5 linked regions of the Callithrix jacchus genome follow. The protein of the gene in region 4 purifies or fractionates together with the protein of the main gene of each other region. This does not show direct contact. Links are inferred from orthologs where the notes say so. Each region holds a gene or a part of one and is shown on either strand. Other genes may lie near its edges. The genes, in order: SNX9, AP2A1, PHETA1, OCRL and RAB1A.

Region 1 (4,178 bases), on a different chromosome or scaffold from region 4:
AGAATTTTTTTTTAATCCCTATAGTTCAGAAACAATCACATCCTTAAGAAAATACATAAGAACAAGTAAGAAAATTGTATCTGAAGATACTGTAGCCAATTCTCTGGTAAATTCAAAGGGAAACTGACATCACCTAAAATATCCAGACACTGAATTTACTTTTCATCACTTAATAATTACAGCAACAGCCTGAGTGCAAAGGGAGCCTAAATTTTTATTAAAAGGTAGTCATTACTACTAAATACATTCCCCCACCCCTTGAAGAAAACGAAGAAAAAAAAATAGAACTACTCAGATGTGGGGAAGGGCAGGCGTGTATACATGGGGGAAGGGAGGCAAAGGACCAACTTGATTCTCTGGGAACAATTAAAAAATGAGACTTTGGTTGGACACAACAATCACCAGCATGTCAGAAAACTAAGGAAGGCTATTCTTTTTCTTCAAACTCATCACAATGTAAACATGGAAATGAGCGCCATGTGGAACAGTGATTAGTCAGCCGAAACAAACTAACTACTGGAATATGCCTTCAGAGTGGTGTAGATAACCAAGCAGGAAGTGCTTATACATGTTTTAAGACTCGTGTTTAAGTGAAGACACACGCAATTCAAGATGAATACAAGCACCACTGTCCTTTTCAAATTTTTGGGGAAAAAATTAAGTTTAGGCTTAACAATGAAATAAAAATTTCACCAGGTATACCCGCACTAGTTGCTAAACTGCATTCCACTTAAAGGACAGTACAGGTAACACGCCTCAGCAGACCAGAGTGGGAAAAACACAATACTGACCACCACTGGACAGATCTCTAGGTCATAAACCGCTTTTTTTTTTGACAGAGCCTTGCTCTCCACAACCGCCACCTCCCGGGTTCAAGCGATTCTCCTGCCTCAGCCTCCAGAGCAGCTGGGACTATAGGTGCACACCACCACACCCAGATAATTTTTGTATTTTTAGTAAAGATGGGGTTTCATCATATTGGCCATGCTGGTCTCGAGCTCCCGACCTCAGGTGATCTGTCCACCGCGGCCTTTCAAAGTGCTGGGATTACAGGCGGGAGTGAGCCACCGCGCAGGGTCTATAAACCGATTTAAGGTTGCAAGATGAGTGTGTAGTAGGATGTGTAACCAGTAATTTCTGGAATGTTTGGCAACAAACCTCAAAATCAAATTTGCTTAGAAATCCTTGGCCTAAGTTTTATTTTTAAAAAGGTCAAAGCAAAATTAATACATTAAAAAGGTGGCAAATTATATCACATTAATAAAACCAAGGCACAGCACAGGCAATAATATATTAGTAAGAAGGTTAATTATTTCAGTAACTGCAGCAACAGGTTCCCTGGAGGAGAATCCCCATTTCTCTATAAACGCGGCACCTAGATGGATTCAGAGAACAAAATCTACCGCAGCACAAAATCTGGCAGAGGGTAATCAAGCAATTCTGATCTTTCAAAGAGATTTGAAATGTCTTATCATTTTCCACTTTATCACTCCACAAACGCGCGCGCACATACACACACCTATCGAAAAATAAAAATAAAAAAAAATAAGGTTTCCACCAACCCAAAAGTAGCTCAGAGATCTCAAAAACAAATAGAGAAAGGGGTTCTGATGCTTAGAAACTGACATTACAAAAACTAAATGCAAAAGTAAACCCGCTCCTCACAGCATATCATAGATCAGTCAATGGCTCAGGGATGGAGCCTCCTCCCCCAGGTCCTCCTTCCGCGTCCCTGACTTTCCCAACAACTATTTTACATCAAATAACTACTGAAAAGGGCCTGGGAAAAGGAGCGGGGGAAGGTGGCTTTTGAACACTCAGGTAGCAAGGAGTGACTGCTAATTTCATAAACAATAACGTAAAAGAGGGAAACCACCGCTCCTAGCCAATTACCAAGCAGGAGTCAAAGTTCCACGACGTAATTCGGGCCTGGGCCTTTACTCAGGCAAACACGTAATCGAAAGCACAGTCATTTCCCTCTTGATATTTTATTCATGCTGGCAATACCAGTCACACTGAAAAGGCAGCAAAACAAAACAAAAAAATAACAGCAGCGAAGGCAGCGGGGCTCTGGGCGTCCCAGCCTCCGTCCATCCCCGGACGCGAGCTCCCGCAGGCTGGGACGGGAAGCGCCGCGTCCTCTCCGCCGGGGTCTCGACTCCTAATCGCCTCGCGGGGCCGAGGGTCCCCCGGGCGCAGCAGAAGGGGACGCGGAGACGGCGGACAACAGGGAGCGCCTATCGCCTAGGGGGCCTCCTAGGGCTGCGGGAAGTTTCCGTCCCGCTCCCACGGCCCCTCCCGGAGAGCCAGCCGCAGCCCACTCTCTCAGGTGCAAACTTCGCAAACCTAGCTGCGCCCTGGGACCCGACCCGCGTCTGCGCGCAGATCCGACGCCCTCCCCCAGCGCGATCCCGGCGGTCCCCACAGCCCGCCGCACCCATGCCCGGAGGGGGCTGGCTGGGCCGCGGAGCCGTCCGGGAACCCAACCGAGGACGCGGCGTGGCTCCTCGGCGGCCCCCGTTCCCGACCCTCCCCGCGGCCCCGGCCCCGACCCTCCCCGCGCCGCTGTGGGCCTGATCGGCCGGCCGGGCCTGCGCCGCGCACCCCTCACCTTGGTGGCCATGGCGGGCGGGTCTCCCGGCCCGGGACGGCCGGCTCGTCTCCTGCGTTGCGGATGGTGGTTCCGAGCCGCGAGGGGGTGGGCGGCGGCTCCGGATGGGCCCCGGCGCGGCGGCGACTGCTTCGCCTCGGCCCCGAGTCTGGACGCTCAGGCCCCGCCGCTGGGCGCTCTGCGACTCCCGCGCCGCCCGCTCCTGCAGTTCCTGAAAGTCCCCGGCTGCGCGGCCCCCGCCCCTGCCGGCCGAGCCTCCCATTTACCGCGGCGCGCGCGGCGCCCGGCGGAAGCGCGCCCTGGGCCCTCGGCCGCGGCCCGGCCTCCAGGCCGCCCCCGCGCCGCGCCACCGCCCGGCCCCCTTCGTCTAGGCTCGGGGCCGCGTCCTGAGCTGCGGTAGGGTCGGGGCGGGATCCCGGAGCCATGTCCGGCAGGCCGCATAGCCGCCCCACGGAAAGCGCTCCGCGGCCCACCGAGCTGCTCGGGGGAGCCGAACCCCAGAATCCGTTCACGCTCGGCCGGCGCCGAACGCCGTGGCTCGGGGCTTTCCGTGCAAGAGGCGGGAGGGGGCGGCAGGAACTCGCGAAGCGCCCTGAAGGCAGGAGCCCCCCCACCCCGCGATTTGTGCCCTACGCCGGTGCTGCTGCGGGGTCGCGGTGCCCTGGCCCGAGTATCCTGAGTACCACATAAACAGCCGGGAAGGAACGGAGCAATGGCTTCCTGGGCCTCTTCCTCTCGCCCGGAGGCTCCCTCAGGCCGGGGTCCTGGCTTGGAGCCCCTGGAACGGGACCTTGGGGGCTTCGTTCTGTGATCTCCGGTTAACCTCCTTCTGGACTCTTGATACGTTTAAAAATGCCCGAGTGCCCCAGAGGTTTGGGGAACAGCAGGATCTCTGAAATGGAAATGAGGGTTCTAAAATTGTCCATCTTTCTTGTCAGTGGTTTTCTCCAGAGTTGGATATATATATATATATATATGGGAGTTTTGAATAAAAGAATGACTTGAATTGAGCAGCAAGATTTTTCACTCAAGGACAAAACACACGACTGGAAGATATTTTAATTGGCATACTAGTGGAGTACTTTGTTATTATGAGGGATGTATTTGTAAGAAGAGAACTATCAGATCAAATCTAAATACTCCATAGTATTTAGAGTTAATGTCAAGTTTGTGTCTTTTTAAATATGTTGTATTTGACCTGAGATTTCGCTAGTTCAATAATGGAGATTAAATACGGTATTGCAGAATTTTCTGTGAATTTTTGTGTTTGTCTAGCTCATGGTTAAAGCTGTAGTCATCATAATATGCATAGTTTTCTTTCCCCGTAAATAAAATGTTGGAGGCCAACATTCTTTGACAACCTGCTTGCTGTATACTAGGCTTTTACATCCCCATCTCATTTAATCCTTGTAGGAAACATGTGAGAAACTCATCATTGTCCACTGTTTACAAAGATGAGCCAATCAGGGCTCACTTAAATAACTTGCCCCTTTGGTAATACTTATTCAAATTGAAAATGACCATAACCTTGGACCCAGCAGCCCTCCTAGGAATTTATCCTCCTGTC
Region 2 (3,512 bases), on a different chromosome or scaffold from region 4:
ATTCCACAAGCGGGTCCTGGCAGAGGTGTAGGAATGTCCCACACAAATGGGAGAGGTTGGCAGCCAGGAGACCAGAGGCAGTGGGGACAGGCCACATGGGAGAGGACGAAGCCATGGCCCTAGGGACGGGGCAGGGGGCGCAAGGGTCTCACCCAAGGGTCTGACCTGGTGCCTGGGTGGACAGTGGGACCTTCATGGGATTGAGAACTGGGAGAGGAAGCAGTGAGCTCAGTGGTAGGAGTGAGCGCCCTAGTGATAGCTAAGCTCTTCATTCATTCATTCATCACCTGTTCATTGTGTGTGTGGGGCAGGGATAGGAGCTCTCAGGGAGCGTGTCCGGGGCCTGAGGAGCCCCACAGATCAGGGGCCACAGTGGGAGGAGGAACGAGAGGAAGTCAGGGACAGCCCAAGGGTGTGTGCTGTGCTTCCCCTCTGTGCCGTGGGGCTCAGTGAGCGGTGGTTCCTCCATCTTTGAAGCTCCCAGTCAGAGAAGGGGTCCTGGCCTGTCCTAAGCCCCAGGGCCTGGGGGCCGGGAAGATCTGGCCTTCCTGCTGGGTGGGGCCGTACCTAGGAAAGGGAAAGCAGGTGGCTGACTCCACAGAACTCTCCACCCACCCTCCTCCTCTTCTCCCAGGTAAGAGCAAAGAGGCGGAGATTAAGAGGATCAACAAGGAACTGGCCAATATCCGCTCCAAGTTCAAAGGTAGGCCGGGGCCTGACTCCTGGCTCTGAGGGAGGAGGGGCTGGGGGTGGGGCTCCTGGGACCTATCCTGTGACCCTTCCTCGTTTCTGGCTCCCCACCTTCTCCTTCCTCTGCCCTAGGCGACAAAGCCTTAGACGGCTATAGTAAGAAAAAATATGTGTGTAAACTGCTCTTCATCTTCCTGCTCGGCCACGACATTGACTTTGGGCACATGGAGGCTGTGAACCTGCTGAGCTCCAATAAATACACAGAGAAGCAGATAGTGAGTCTGGAGAGGGGAGGCCAGGGCCTGGACTCCTGGGTGTGAGGGTTGGATCTGGGGCCGCTCAGTCACAGGGCTCCTAGCCACCCCCCACCTGCCTTGCCACAGGGTTACCTGTTCATCTCTGTGCTGGTGAACTCAAATTCGGAGCTGATCCGCCTGATCAACAATGCCATCAAGAACGACCTGGCCAGCCGCAACCCCACCTTCATGTGCCTGGCCCTGCACTGCATCGCCAACGTGGGCAGCCGGGAGATGGGCGAGGCCTTTGCCGCAGACATCCCCCGAATCCTGGTGGCCGGGTAAGGCACTGGGGACCCGTGGGCAGTCGGGTGTGTGGGAGATGAGGCCCAGCCAAGGACAAGGCTCAGAGACCTGCCCGAGGTCTCCGAGCCGGGCTGGGACGTGGGCTAACGCTGCGCTGGGGACCTCAGTGGTTCTGGTGGCAGCTCTGGACTTGTCTCTTCTCATGATAGCAAGCTGACTTGATGGCGTGAGCCCGCTTCCCCACAAAGCCGGTGGCCGGGGAGTCTCTGAACTGCAGAACTGTAACACCCAGGATAAGAGGGATAACTGTAAGCTGGGTGGGTGATGGCCCTCCAGAACGTCTTCATCTGCTCCAGTCATTCACCAAACATTTACTGACCACCTACTATGTGCCAGCCACTGTGCTGATTGCTGGGGATGTGTCCTGACCAGAGATAGAAACGGTCATTGCCCTCCCATGTTCGTGGTCTGGAGCAGGAGATAAATGGTGTTGGAAGAATTGCAGGATGCAGTGGAGAATCTGCCAGGCGTGGTGGCTCATGTAATCCCTGTATTTTGGGAGGCCAAGGGAGGTGGATTGCTTGAGTCTAGGAGTTTGAGACCCTACTGAGCAACATGGCAAAACCCCATCTCTACTAAACACAAAAAACGAGTTGTGTTCATGCCACTGCACAGCCTGGGAGACAGCAAGACCCTGTCTCAAAAAAAAAAAAAAGTACAATTCCTCCCTCAGAACTACATTCTGGGCACAGGGGCCTATAAGGGTGTTTAATAGGAATACCTGACCCAGCTGGAGGATCAGAGAGGGCTTCCCAGAGGAAGCGGCACGAGGCTGACACCCGGGCGAGGAACAGTATTTTGCGATTGGAAAGCGGCAGTGAGGTCAGCTATGTGATTCTCTTGAAGCAGGAAGTTGTTGAGCGGATCTTTCTGGAGCATCTACAATGTGCTGGGCGCTGTTCTGGGCATGGGAGGCAGCAGTGAACAGCAGAGACCCTGCTGTGCCTACTCTTTTTCCATTTTGCTTGAGCACTAACTAGCTTCTCAGCCATGCCCACCCTCCAGGAGCTTACTTCTTAGGGGGCACAGGCAGCAAATACACAAGTAAAGAAGTAAGAAGGGGCCAGTGCGATGACTCAAGCCTGGAATCCCAGCACTTTGGGAGGCTGACTGAGGCAGGATCGATTGAGCCCAGGAGTTCGAGACCAGCCTGGGCAACATGGTGAGACTCTGTCTCTCTCTCTCTCTCTCTTTTTTTTTTTTTAATTAGCCTGAAGACTGGGTTCTCTTGGAGTGACCCTGTCTCTTAAAATTAAAAAAAAAAAAGAAAAATTAGCCGGGCCTGGTGGTTCACACCTGCTACTCAGGAGGCTGAGGCAGGAGCAGCACTTGTGGCCCTCCAAAAAGAGGAAGTAAGATGATCTTAGGTAGTGACGAATGCTCAAAGAAAATGCGACAGGGTTGTGAGGGACAGCAGGGGGCATGGGGAGGCTGGGTTTTTTTTTTCTTTTTTTTTTGAAACAGGGTCTCACTCTGTCATCCAGGCTGGAGTGCAGATCTCAGCTCACTGCAGCCTCTGCCTTCTGCGTTCAAGCAATTCTCATGCCTCAGCCTCCTGAGTAGCTGGGATCATAGGCACATGCCACCACGCCTGGCTAATTTTTATATATATATATATATATATATATATATATATATATATTTTTTTTTTTTTTTTGAGACGGAGTTTCGCTCTTGTTACCCAGGCTGGAGTGCAATGGCGCGATCTTGGCTCACTGCAACCTCCGCCTCCTGGGTTCAGGCAATTCTCCTGCCTCAGCCTCCTGAGTAGCTGGGATTACAGGCACATGCCACCATGCCCAGCTAATTTTTCATATTTTTAGTAGAGACGGGGTTTCACCATGTTGACCAGGTTGGTCTCGATCTCTTGACCTCATGATCCACCCGCCTCGGCCTCCCAAAGTGCTGGGATTACAGGCTTGAGCCACCATGCCCGGCCTAATTTTTATATTTTTAGTAGAGATGGGGTTTCATCATGTTGGCCAGGCTGATCTTGAACTCCTGACCTCAATTGATCTGCCCGCCTCAGCCTCCCAAAGTGCTGGGATTACAGGTTTGAGTCACTGCATCTGGTTGGAGGTTGTTTAAATTAGACTAGTGAGGGAGGGTCTCTCCACAGAGGTGGTGTGTATGATAAGATCATCATTTGAAGATGTTGGAGAAAGAGCGTCCTGAGCAAAAGGACCAGCAAGCACAGAGGCCCTGGGGCAGGCGTGAGCT
Region 3 (4,130 bases), on a different chromosome or scaffold from region 4:
CGGTGAGCCGAGATTGCGCCATTGCACTCCAGCCTGGGCAACAAGAGCGAAACTCCGTCTCAAAAAAAAAAAAAAAAAAAATTAGTCAAGTGTGGTGGCGCACACCTGTAGTCCCAGCTACTTGGGAGGCTGAGGTCGGAGGATTGCTTGAACCCAGGAAGTCAAGGTTACAATGAGCTGTGATTGTGCCAGTGCACTCCAAACTGGGTGACAAAAAAAAAAAAAAAAGCAAAAAGAAAGCTGCACTACCAGGCTTTCTGCCCCATTGCCTTGGCGTATAGACCTAGCATGAATCACTTCCTGAACTCATTTGCTGTTGTCTTGATTCCTGGCTGCACCTACTTACCCGGTTCAGGAACAGTGCCTGGCACACAGTAGGCACTTAGTAAGATGCTATACAATGGAGAGCTGACCCTGGTCTGTCCTGTTCTTCCTGCCCTCAGGCCAGGACTGGACAGTGATTAGGAGGTGGTAGGTGGTGGAGAAAAGGCAGCAGGAACAGGAAGCAAGGAAGGGTTCAAGGAGGTGAAACTGTGTTATTTTGGACAGGGCAAAATCAACAACAATTCCTATTTCTTGGGAGCCTACTACTGTGCCGTGCACATTACATATTATTATTGTGTTTATTTTCCCGATGAGGAAACGGAGACCTAAAGAAGTGAAATGATTTCTCTAAGGTCACAGAGTGTTCAGTGGGCTAGTGCAACTCGAACTCAAGTCTGTCCAATTCCAGAACTTTCTCTCTTCACCTGGGTCCAGGGGAGGCTCGAGGCACCCTGTTCCTATGGAAGACTGCTGTATACAAATGTCCTGGATTCAGCTGCTTTCCGCCAAGTACACATTTTTGAGGAGTTAGAGCTATTTTTCTAATTTAACTGGGCGTTAAATTTGCTAAACCTGGCAACCCAGGTTTAGCACATTTTTTTTTATTTGTAGAGATGGGGGCCTCCCTATGTTGCCCAGGCTGGTCTTGAACTCCTGGGCTCAAGCGACCCTCCTGCCTCGTCCTAGGGGGAGCTCAGACTGAACTCTAGGACTTCAGCAAATGGCCCGCCCAGGAACCCCGAATGCTCTTTCCGGGCGAATCCACGGCCTGGGCCGGTCGTTACCTTTGGAATCTCAAAGAGCTTCTGGGCTCCAGCACTGGGGAATGGCGAGCCAGGCGCGGACCCTTTAAGAGTGATTTCGAGGGCGGGCTCACGGGGGCGTGGCAAATCCAGGGGCGTGCCGGGTGGGGGCAGGCCAATCGAGAGGCGAGACGAACGGGCGGCGCGGGTAGGTTGGGAAGGGTTAAAGGGGCGCGCCAGTGGGTCGCGGACTGTCCGGTCGCTCCCGCCTCCTTCCGTCGGATCCGCGCTCTCCCGCGGCTGCGCCGGCCTGGCCACCCGGGAGACAAAGCGCTGCCGCCGCCGTCGCCGCAACCGGGCCAGTCCCGGACCATGGCCCGGCCATCCCCCGGCCTCGCGCCTCCTGTCCCGTCGCCGCACTAGGCCTGCGCTTCGAGGTAAGGCGGGCCTGGCCGGGGGACCTGCACAGGGATGCGGGACCTGGGTCGGGCCGCCCTGGGCCTCGGGGTGCCCCGGCCACCTGGAGAGCCCGCTGCGAGGATCTTCCCCGCTGGGACTCCGCACCAGCGGTCACTTTTCCGGCAGCCTAGGCGGACTTGGCCGATGACTACCCTCCCCGCCCCCAGCATAGGGACGTCTGCCGCTGAGGGGGACTGCGGCTAAGCTCCTCATTCTGCCGCTGACCACCCATCCGGGGCTCGGGCTGTCCTTTACCGAACTTAAGAGAGCTCCCACGCTCAATACACAAAGAGACAGAGGACAGCTGGGAGCAGGGCCAGAGCTGGAGAAGCAGGCAAGGGGGCTGTCTGTGCGCGGACGGTGGTGCTGGCGTCCCTGGGGTCCCTGCTGGGGCCGTGATAGACTGGCTGCTCTTCAGTGTTCTTGGCACACATGTTTTTCAGCCTGTGCCTGCCACACCCTCTTCCCCATGCCCGCTGCTGGGGGACACTGAGGGCAGCTGGATTCAACCCCAAGACCTGCGGTTCTGGCTTCTTTCATTGAAGTGAGTGCCAAAATGCCATGCCTCAGTCTCCCCAGAGACCTGGGTTCCAGGGCCAGCTGTGCCCCTGGAGATCTTAGATGAATTATTTGCCTTTTGGTGGCTCTTTCCCTGAGCGTTCAACTCACTACCAACCAAGTAATTTGCAAAATGACTCTTCAGGAATAAATTCACTCAGCCCTTAGAGGGATGGAAGTTAACTCCCCATTTTGCTGATGAGGCTGCGAAAATCCCCAACTCAGAGCAGCTACTATTTGCAGTCCCTTTCCCAGTTTGCCTGTGGGTTTTCCTTCTTTTAGCTCACTGAACCTTCGACACACAGCCCATTTTAACAGATGAGGAAACTGAGGCTTGGAAAGGTGAAATGACTTGTCCAAGATCCTCTAGCCTGTACCGGCAGAGGCAGGACCCTGGCCTTGGAAGCAGAGGGGCCAGGCTCCCTCCAGCTTCCTGCCTGGCTGTTGAATCAGCAGCAGTGCCCACAGTGGACTCTGAACTTTTTGGAAAACAGCATGGTAAGATAAGACAGGGGCCAGGCCTTCCCTCTAGGCAAGGCTGGAGCCTGTGCCCCTGTGGCTTCCTGCCTTCCCCGTTCTGGTGGAGGCAGGGGTCATGGACAGAGCCAGGTCATGCCTGCTGGTGACCTTGAACCAGTTTGGCCTCCATCTGTGCAGTGGAGGGGGGAGTGTTGCTGAGCAGGAGGGAAGTTCCTATTCCTTCGGCCTTGTTGGGGTGGGGAGACCCCAAGATCAGCTCCTTTTTTGGGTGGCTTGCCTGGAGTATATGATTCTGGGCACAGTTGTATGCCTCTGGCCAACTTACTGAACCTCTCTGTGGCCATTTCCATGTCTATGAATGTGGGGTGAGACCCCTTGTCTTGGGCCTGTTGAGAGGTTTAAGAAGATACCTGTAGAATGAATCAAACAGCTGTGTGAGCACCTACTGCATGCGAGGCACTGGAATTCAAATCACAAACACCCCTGCTTTCCTGGAGCAGGCAAAAATGACCCCAGTACTAATAATTTCAGAAGGAGGCACAGGAGAGGGACTGGGGGGGGCTCTTGTGCATAGGGTGGCCAGGGACCAATCCTGAGACCAAAGGATGGGGAGCTGGCCTTGTGAAGACCTGGAGAGGACACTGTAGGCAGACAGCCAGGGCCAGGTCTCAGAGGCAGGGATGTGTCTGCTGTATTTGAGGAACAGAAAGGAGGCCAGGATGGCTGGAGCTGAATGAGCAAGGGGAAAAGAGGTAGGGAAAGGGAACTTGGAAGCCATGGGAAGCTTTTTTTTTTTTTTTTTTTTTGAGACAGGGTCTCACTATGTTGTCCAGGCTGGAATGCAGTGGCATGATCACTCCCAAATTCAAAGGGTCCTTCCATGTCAGCCTCCCAGATAGTTAGGACTAGAGGTTTGTGCCTCCCAGATAGCTAGGACTAGAGGTGTGTGCCTCCCAGATAGCAAGGACTAGAGGTGTGTGCCACCATACCCAGCTGTTTTTTCTATTTTTTATAGTGATAGGGTCTTGCTGTGTTGTCCAGGCAGGTTTCTAACTCAAGCAATCCTCCGGCTTCAGCCTTCCAAAGTGCCAGCATTACAGGTGTGAGCCACCGCGCCCTGCCTAAGGATTGAATTTTATGCTGAGAGAAGCAGGGAGGGTTTAGAGCAGAGGAGGAGTGTGATTGGACTTAATTTTCACAGGATCCCTCTGTGGGGAGTGGATTTCAGTGTGGCTTGGAGAAGAGCCTGGGAAATAGGCTTGGATCTTACCTTGAGGAATGTGGACAGGGAGGGGAAAGGAGACTTCTGAGGAGGCTTCAGCAGTGAATGATGATGGGGCTTAGAATGGGGAGGTGGGGTGGACAGATTAGGCAACTGATTTGGAAGAGGCTGGAGGGGGGATCAACTGGACTTGATGGGTGATCAGATGTAGGGGTGAGAGGGAAACCAAGGGCCATTTGCTCAGGTTGGAAGCACTAGATGGGGGTGTCTGGGGAAAAGCCAAGAAGAATGTGAATTGCTACTGTGCTCAGCAGGCACTTTGTGCCTAGCCCTGTGCTCCGCAG
Region 4 (3,512 bases):
CAAGTTCCAACAAAAAATCTAATATATAATATGAAAAGATAATTTGAAAACAAAGATCAAGTATAAACCAACAGAAGGTCTTTCTTTTCACTTCTATACAAAGGTATGTTCACAATATGCTAACGTAATTCCTCAAAATGTTTTTCCACACATGTAAGAAAAATCTTTTGCATCTAGAACATAAAGGCAGTGGGCTTATTTTCTCTAAATTTTACATTAAGTAAAACTACAGAAGGAAACCAAGTCTCTATTTTTAAAAAATGCAAAGGTAATTGCTATACCACATTTCCTTTCAATTAAACTCCATCTAAACTCATACTTGAAAGGAGAGCTTACAGATGGGAAAGAGGTATCTTCATGCTGTAAGCTAGTCAAATATGGATAAATGTTCTATACAGGGCTGTAGCTGACTCCAGAAACTCACTTCCTGAAGGATTACAAGGACATCTGTGTAGGAAATTCTGAGGAGGCAGACATAGTATTAAGGGGGAAAGCAGAAGGGAAAACTCATGACTGTCTTAGCTGTTTACAAACAAATATAAGCATAGTGGGGAATATCAGGAACTGGAGGTTTTAGCATAGGAATATAGTTATGATTGAATTAGAATAAATGAGGCATGATAGGATAGCAGATGGGACTAGAATCTTGGACTAGAAGGGTACATTCTGCTCATGAGTAACAAAGAAAGGTGGTGTTACTTCATGCATTGGCGATACACGCCACATGGTACCTCACATGCAGCAAAAACACAGGTCCAGAAAAGAAGATGTCAACAAGTAAAGATGAAACAAAAAATAATACAGATGAAAGAATCCAAGACAGACCTTCCAATCAAGAAGACTGGGTGAAACTTACTTTACTTACCAAAGTAAGTTAAGAGCTAGTGGTAATGATGAACTTTAATTTTCTGGTATTGATGAGAAAAAAAAACTTAGCAGGCCAGATATATAAACAGGCTTGTTTATGGAATGTGCTAGGGGAAAATTCTCTAGTAGATGTGAGCTTGATTTGATTCTTCAAGACTCAATAGAGGCCAGGTGCAGTGGCTCACGCCTATAATCCCAGCAATTTAGGAGGCCGAGGCAGGCAGATCAGGAGGTCAAGAGATCGAGACCATCCTGGCCAACATGGTGAAACCCCGTCTCTACTAAAAAATACAAAAATTAGCTGGGTGTGGTGGGGTGCACCTGCAGTCCCAGCTACTCCAGAGGCTGAGGCAGGAGAATTGCTTGAACTCAGGAGGCTGAGATTGCAGTGAGCCGAGATAGCACCACTGCACTCCAGCCTGGTGCCTGGCAACAGAATGAGCCTCTGTTTCAAACAAAAAAAAAAATTAAAAAAAAAAAGACTCAATAGAGACATTAGTAGACATGGCATTATTAGTAGTTAAGCACGGTAGCTCACACCTATAATCCCAACACTTTTTTGCCTGACCTCAGGAATTTGAGACCAGCCTGGGAAACATGGCGAAACCCAGTCTCTATAAAAAAAAACAAAAATTAGCTGGGTGTGGTGGCGTGCGTCTGTAGTCCCAGCTACTTTCGAGGGCTGAGGTGGGAGGATTGCTTGGGACTGGGAGGTCAAGGCTACAGTGAGCCATGATCTACTCTCCAGCCTGGGTGACAAAGAGAGCTTGACTCACACACAAAAAAAGAAAATCCAAGGAAAACTGTAGCATCTGCATTATTTCTGATATGCACGTTACTGGCCAGCATAGAGACAGGAGCTTGAAACAGGCGACCATTCCTTTTTATCATATTTTGATTCTTAATTAGGCTAATAATGTCATAAATATCAACAGGCCACTGTCTGTTATACCTACTTACTTTTTGGACTCAGGAAGCAAAAGAGACACTAACCTGAAAGTCTGAATGTTGACATATTCTTTCTCTCGCTTTGCCAGGATATGTTTAATGAGACCCTCCCGCTGCCCAGATTGGGTATTTGGTACAAAGAGCTTCCGCATGGTGTTGGTCACTTTGGGCTGCTCCTTGTTAGAAGCTTCTTTTTCACGTGGAAGCCTAGCAAATAAAAGATTCAAAAGTAAAATTGTTTAAACTATAATTCTCCTATAGGGGAAATACGTTTTCACATAGGACTTACATTTTATTCACTGAAGGGGGTGGAGGTGGGGGTTCCCGATGAATCCCAGTAGGCTGATTTTGTGAATTTATTTTCTTGTCCAAATTCATAGAAGAAAAATTGTCTTCAAATCCAAGAAGCCCTGAAAGATACAGACCCCAGAGTCAAAGGGGGAAAAAAGCTAACATCCAACATTTCCAGGGTAACAGGGCTTTGATTTGATCAAAATTTGATCGGTGGTATTACTAAACAGAAAGCTGCCATAAGGGTAGAATTTACTTGGATTGGGGTTCAAAGAAGCACTGATACACTAACTAGAACAATAGTTTACACACTAGTAATAGCTAACATTTACTGAAGACTTAGTACAATGCCTGGTTAAACAGTAAGGGATTATATCATTATCTCACTTAATCATCACAAAAACTCTACGAGGTAAGTACTATTAAACTTCTTACCATGTTACAGAAAAGAAAATGGAAGTTCAGAGTTTTTGAGTAACTTGATGAAAGTCGTATAACTAGTAAGTCCTTGACTTGGGTGGGATTCAAACCCAGGCCAACTGGCTCTGGAGCTTGTACTTCCTACCACCCTGCTAAGTTGGCTCCTGAAAAGCTACCATGCTACAGAAAGGATGAGGAGTGAACATTGGTCAGTGGGCCTGCACTCGATAAAACTATTCTGCAGGAGAATGTATCTGACATTGGCTTTAATCTACATCATCATATTTGGCCTGACAAAATCTACTGACTCTGCAATGACCATAGCAACCAGAGAACCAGAAACTTTTCAGTACCTGAAAAACCGGAAGGTTTGTCCTTAGTGTCTAATTTCTGGTACCAGCTGGATGAGTCCTTTTGCTCTGGAACAAGAAGTTGTGACTGAGCTGGAGAGATATGGTTCATGGTCAGAAGCTGGGAAGTCTTTCACTGAGTAGAATTTACCATAGCGAAAAGCCATTCTTTTCAACATTCCTTACATGCAGGGGCCAGCACCATTTTTGGATATAGAAGAAACTAAGGAAATGAGGGCAGCTCTGGGGTCATTGAGGGGCAGAAGGAGAATTACAGTCTATGGTAAGCTATGCTTGCCACGACACTGAAGATTCTGGAAAGTGGCTTAGTATCCTTACAGCCAGGCAGATTTGTTCCCTAACCTATTCCTGTGTTCACTCCTGAAGAAAAAAAAAATCAGCTACCAGGGCTTAAAGGGTGAGGTATTTTGCCAATGGCCATTTCCCTCTGTATCAGCATGTCAGAATTTCATTCCCATTCAGACAGAAGAAAGAAAATTGCCGAGTCTTGAGTTACCTTTCTGAGCAACAAGGACCTCTGAGAGGAACTTCAAACCGTGTTCCTCATCAGGGATTTCAAAGCGGCGCTCTCTGGTCCAGTCCCCCTGAACCCGAATTTTGCAGCCACCTAAAAAG
Region 5 (4,072 bases), on a different chromosome or scaffold from region 4:
CCGTCTCTACTAAAAATACAAAAAATTAGCTGGGCACGGTGGTGTGTGCCTGTAATCCCAGCTACTCAGGAGGCTGAAGGAGGAGAATTGCCTGAACCCAGGAGGCGGAGGCTGCAGTGAGCCAAGATCGAGACATTGCACTCCAGCCTGGGTAACAAGAGCGAAACCCCGTCTCAAAAAAAAAAAAAAAAAAACCTGCTAAAGTCAGATTGCTAAAAATCTGATTGTTGGCTGCCCTTGTAACCTTCCCTAATAAAATATCCCTCACTTCCTCTTACCCTAATTTCCACTAACATTTTTGCAAAAGTTTTCCCAAATTCCTGTTTTACTTTACTCAACAGTCTAGATAGACTACAAATATAGTAGGCCAGATACTCATGTATTTGATGCCAGAAAAAATATAAAAACTATTTCTGGATTTGATTCCATTGAGGTCATTAATCTAGTCTTCAAAAGAAAAGGATGATGTGATACCACATTTACTCAAGAATTACTATCCCTGTCATCTATGAGCCATTCCTGCTTCTCCTCCTTGAAAATTCCTTCTCACTCCCTCTGTTCCTCCAAATCCAATTGCTGCTGATAATTTCCTTTCAGGTCTCTTTTCTATAAAGTCTTCCAAAACCCAGATAGCTAATCACAACCCACCATCCCCGAAATCTTGTTGCTCTCATCAACGACACACATCTGGAATTTGCTGCATTTACTGGTATTTGACATGCATAAAATGTTTATCTATATTCCTAAACTCCTTAAACATAAAGATTATATTCCTAAATCTTAGCACTAATAGAACGCCTTTCATGAAAATTACGCATACTACCTGAAGAATGCTCATATAGTTTTCCTAATTCTTTTATATGCATTTGAATTTCACCACTACCCTGAAAGGAATAATGATTCCAATTATTCTATTTAACAAAAGGGGAAATAAATTCAGAGGCTAACTTGTCAAAGTTCTCAACTAATCTTGAATATCTATTTACAGTACTAAACATATATATAGTAAATTCAGAAAAAGCCCTTAACAGTACAGGTTTATGAACTTTGATAGAGCGGTAAATCCATATTCTTTACTGTTACCAAGAAAACCACTAAATTAAGAACCTCAAGTTCAACTGTGTTCACCTGTGCAAAACCAACTGTGTCCTTGGAGCCCTTGAAAAAAAAATTTTTTTAACTGTCAACAAAGTAAATATGTCACTACAAGAACACTACCGTCAACTTCTAAAGCATAAAATTCTAATAAAATACTATGGTTTCAGTTTAGTGCAAAAGATTTCAGCATCAAGCCAGTGTTACAAAACTTGAAGAATGCATTTTGCAAGAGCCATGTGACACACACATGACAGTCAGCTAAACTGGTGGGTGGACCTTTTAGGGGAAAATGTTTAGCAGTAATTGATCAAAGCAGCAAATAAACTCAACTTTTACAACAAATACTCATTTCCCCCATCCCTCAAAGGCTTTTGACACTGAAAAGAAATACCAATTCTATCTCTTCCAATTACTCATTACTTTACATATATGTAAACTGTAGAGGAAATTTTTAAAGGGCCACTGAGGAGAGCCAACAAAGTCTACCCAAGGGAAGTGAACACCAGTTCCCAGGAAAGGTGCCAGGTGTGTCACATCTGCTGTCGTGACTTCTTGAGTAAGCAAGAAAAAGAAATGCATTAACTTTTCATGACACGTCATGGAACCTCATTGCCTATCATTCCCTATCTGCAATCATTCAAGCAGGTAATCCAAAACCTACATACAGATCTATCATAGGTCCCATTCGTTTCTCTTTCAACTTGACAGCAGGGTTCCTTTAATCTGGTAGTATCAGAAAAACATTCCTTGGCTTTAGCTGTGTGTTTTTTTTCCTTGACCTACAGAAGACAAAATGACTTAAGTGTCCTCTAAAAAAAAAAAAAAAAATTCTCACAAGTGCCCAGGTTTTTAGGAGGGCAATGGAACCGCCGAGTTCTTAAAGAACTCTTCCAAGACACAACTCAAAAAAGAGAACTTAAAAATCGCTTCTCACCATCTACTCATTCCCCTCAATCCCAAGCAGTCCCGAAAAGCATCCATATTACCTGAAACCTGGCGGAGAGGATGGAAGGAGAGGGAGCCAAGAAGCTCAGGATTTGCAAGTAAAGCTGGTTTCCACCCCGAGGATCCTGACAGTTCCGCAGAGTGCGGGCGCAGGGTCTGCCAGTGCCCTCTAGGAGGGCTCTCCCACGCCATCCCCTCCCCTCAGAAACAAGTCCTCCTTCAAAAGTCACTGCCTCCAGGAAAAGCTAACCCTTCACACCGCCTCAGGACCCTCCGCACAGTTCCTCAGCACCCGCCCCACACTCAGGCCCTCCAACCTGACCTGGTCCAGGCCCGGGCGTCTCACCCCTCCGGCCCGACCCCTCCCCCGCCCGGCCGCCCCTCCGCGTCAGACAATGGGGCCCGGCTCCCGGCCGCCAGCCTCTCCTGACCCATCACCCTCGCCTCAACCCAGCTGAGGCTCCGACTTCCGCCCCAACCCTCCTTGCCCCCTTTAAGATCCCTCAAGCTGGCCCACGGACCCAGCCGACCGGTGCTCTCCTGAACTCACTATTCGGGATTCATGCTGGACATGTCACTGCAGCTGCCGCCGCCGCCACCGCCGCCCTTGCTGCTGCAGCCGCCGCCCTGACTCTCCGCGCCACGGGTAATCGAAGGAAAGGAATGAGATAGGCTGTTCCGGGAGAGCAAACGTCTTCCCCCACTCAGTCCCCTAGAACACAATCAGCAGCCGCTGCCACTCAGCTATCGCTTCCACCCAAAATGGCTGCCGGCGAACCAGGAAATAGGGAAGCCTTAGACCAAGGAGCCTTTACACAGCCGGAGGGCGGCCGCACCGCCTGGCATGCCGGGAATGGGAGTCGCGAGTGCGGATACGCGAGCTGAAAACAGACGGTGCGGAGCGGAGGCCAAGACTCAGCTTCCCGCCAAGCGCCGCGCGTTTGGAGCATGCGTACTTGAAGGGTTGTCGCCCGCCCTATTCCCCACTCCCTCACCTCCCCACCCTCCGCCCCTCCTTGCTCCCCTCCCCTCTGACTCGCTGGCTAGGACTTCGCTCTGACTCCCCCTGGCGGATTGGCTAAGGCCGAGCGGCCCTGGTGATGTCAGCAGTGAGACGTGGCAGCTGGGCTAGTAAGCGCCCCACGCGGGAGGGGGCGGAGAGGGGCGGAGAGAGGCGGAGGGCGGTGCCGGCGGTCGACGGAGGCTGGGGGTCGGGGAAGGTTGGGGACCGGAGGGAGTGGTCAAACCGGAGAGACTGCCGGGGTGCAAGGGCGGGGAGGGGGCCGGGGGCGGGGGACACGCGTGGCGGCTCAGGCCCCCGGTGTGGCTTTTGCTGACCTAACCAGCTTGAGGCTTGCGCCACCCGGCTGGCTAGTCGGAGGACGTCCGCTCTAAGGACAGAAGGGAAGTCAAGGGGCTCCCTGGACAACCCGGAGCGGTTCTTTCACTTCTCACCCAGCCCCAACTTGGTTCGGTCATCGTCCATTGTTGGCCCCGCGCACTACCATTTTCTTTGATTTCTTCTTATTCTTACTGCTGCCCCTGTCTTAACTCGTCAGCCTGGATATTGCAGTAGTCTCCTAATGGGCTCTGCCTCTCTCTTCTCCGCCCCAGCCCATTTGCGCACACAATCGAATGTATCTTTCTGAGACAGCACCTCTACCATGACCCCACAACCTTCAGTGGCTCCACATTCCATGGACGGGAGGGACACAGCCCAGAGCCAGCCTAAAATCCAAGTCCTCCCTTCGTGCCAGCCTTCAAGTTGAGTTGTAATGTCTTATTTTCAGTTGTTACTAATCCTGAGCCATTCTGCAAGATTGGAAAATAATAAACAATAAAAACATGCAATTCATCACTACATAATGCCTACAATTTCTGAGGGTATTATTTATTAACTCATTTTTTAAAAACCTGTGGTCTTAACAGCTCTCTTTAATCAGCGCAGGAATTTAAATCTCCACTAAACTTTAACACATTATCTTGAGTTATTTAATTACAAAGGGCATAGTATAATACATTGTCCAAA

The links.
Region 1: the proteins of OCRL (region 4) and SNX9 purify together in Homo sapiens (co-immunoprecipitation; 3 studies listed by BioGRID and IntAct, with this or other methods). This does not show direct contact. The link is inferred for Callithrix jacchus from reciprocal best matches to the Homo sapiens genes OCRL and SNX9.
Region 2: the proteins of OCRL (region 4) and AP2A1 purify together in Homo sapiens (affinity purification with mass spectrometry; 3 studies listed by BioGRID and IntAct, counting the BioPlex papers as one, with this or other methods). This does not show direct contact. The link is inferred for Callithrix jacchus from reciprocal best matches to the Homo sapiens genes OCRL and AP2A1.
Region 3: the proteins of OCRL (region 4) and PHETA1 purify together in Homo sapiens (co-immunoprecipitation; 5 studies listed by BioGRID and IntAct, counting the BioPlex papers as one, with this or other methods). This does not show direct contact. The link is inferred for Callithrix jacchus from reciprocal best matches to the Homo sapiens genes OCRL and PHETA1.
Region 5: the proteins of OCRL (region 4) and RAB1A purify together in Homo sapiens (co-immunoprecipitation; 3 studies listed by BioGRID and IntAct, with this or other methods). This does not show direct contact. The link is inferred for Callithrix jacchus from reciprocal best matches to the Homo sapiens genes OCRL and RAB1A.

Annotation. Positions count from the first base shown.
Region 1 is NC_133505.1:164,652,181-164,656,358, reverse strand, and holds the start of SNX9 (sorting nexin-9), read right to left. Parts: upstream 2,801-4,178; 5' UTR 2,624-2,800; coding exon 2,612-2,623; intron 1-2,611. UniProt on the Homo sapiens protein: Involved in endocytosis and intracellular vesicle trafficking, both during interphase and at the end of mitosis. Required for efficient progress through mitosis and cytokinesis. Required for normal formation of the cleavage furrow at the end of mitosis.
Region 2 is NC_133523.1:43,555,053-43,558,564, forward strand, and holds part of AP2A1 (AP-2 complex subunit alpha-1), read left to right. Parts: intron 1-634; coding exon 635-703; intron 704-822; coding exon 823-965; intron 966-1,073; coding exon 1,074-1,267; intron 1,268-3,512.
Region 3 is NC_133510.1:114,239,508-114,243,637, reverse strand, and holds the start of PHETA1 (sesquipedalian-1), read left to right. Parts: upstream 1-1,320; 5' UTR 1,321-1,504; intron 1,505-1,969; exon of another isoform or gene 1,970-2,582; intron 2,583-4,130. UniProt on the Homo sapiens protein: Plays a role in endocytic trafficking. Required for receptor recycling from endosomes, both to the trans-Golgi network and the plasma membrane.
Region 4 is NC_133524.1:125,226,101-125,229,612, reverse strand, and holds part of OCRL (inositol polyphosphate 5-phosphatase OCRL), read right to left. Parts: intron 3,505-3,512; coding exon 3,394-3,504; intron 2,970-3,393; coding exon 2,880-2,969; intron 2,226-2,879; coding exon 2,105-2,225; intron 2,023-2,104; coding exon 1,861-2,022; intron 19-1,860; coding exon 1-18. UniProt on the Homo sapiens protein: Catalyzes the hydrolysis of the 5-position phosphate of phosphatidylinositol 4,5-bisphosphate (PtdIns(4,5)P2) and phosphatidylinositol-3,4,5-bisphosphate (PtdIns(3,4,5)P3), with the greatest catalytic activity towards PtdIns(4,5)P2.
Region 5 is NC_133515.1:48,813,532-48,817,603, reverse strand, and holds the start of RAB1A (ras-related protein Rab-1A), read right to left. Parts: upstream 2,808-4,072; 5' UTR 2,617-2,807; coding exon 2,594-2,616; intron 1-2,593. UniProt on the Homo sapiens protein: The small GTPases Rab are key regulators of intracellular membrane trafficking, from the formation of transport vesicles to their fusion with membranes.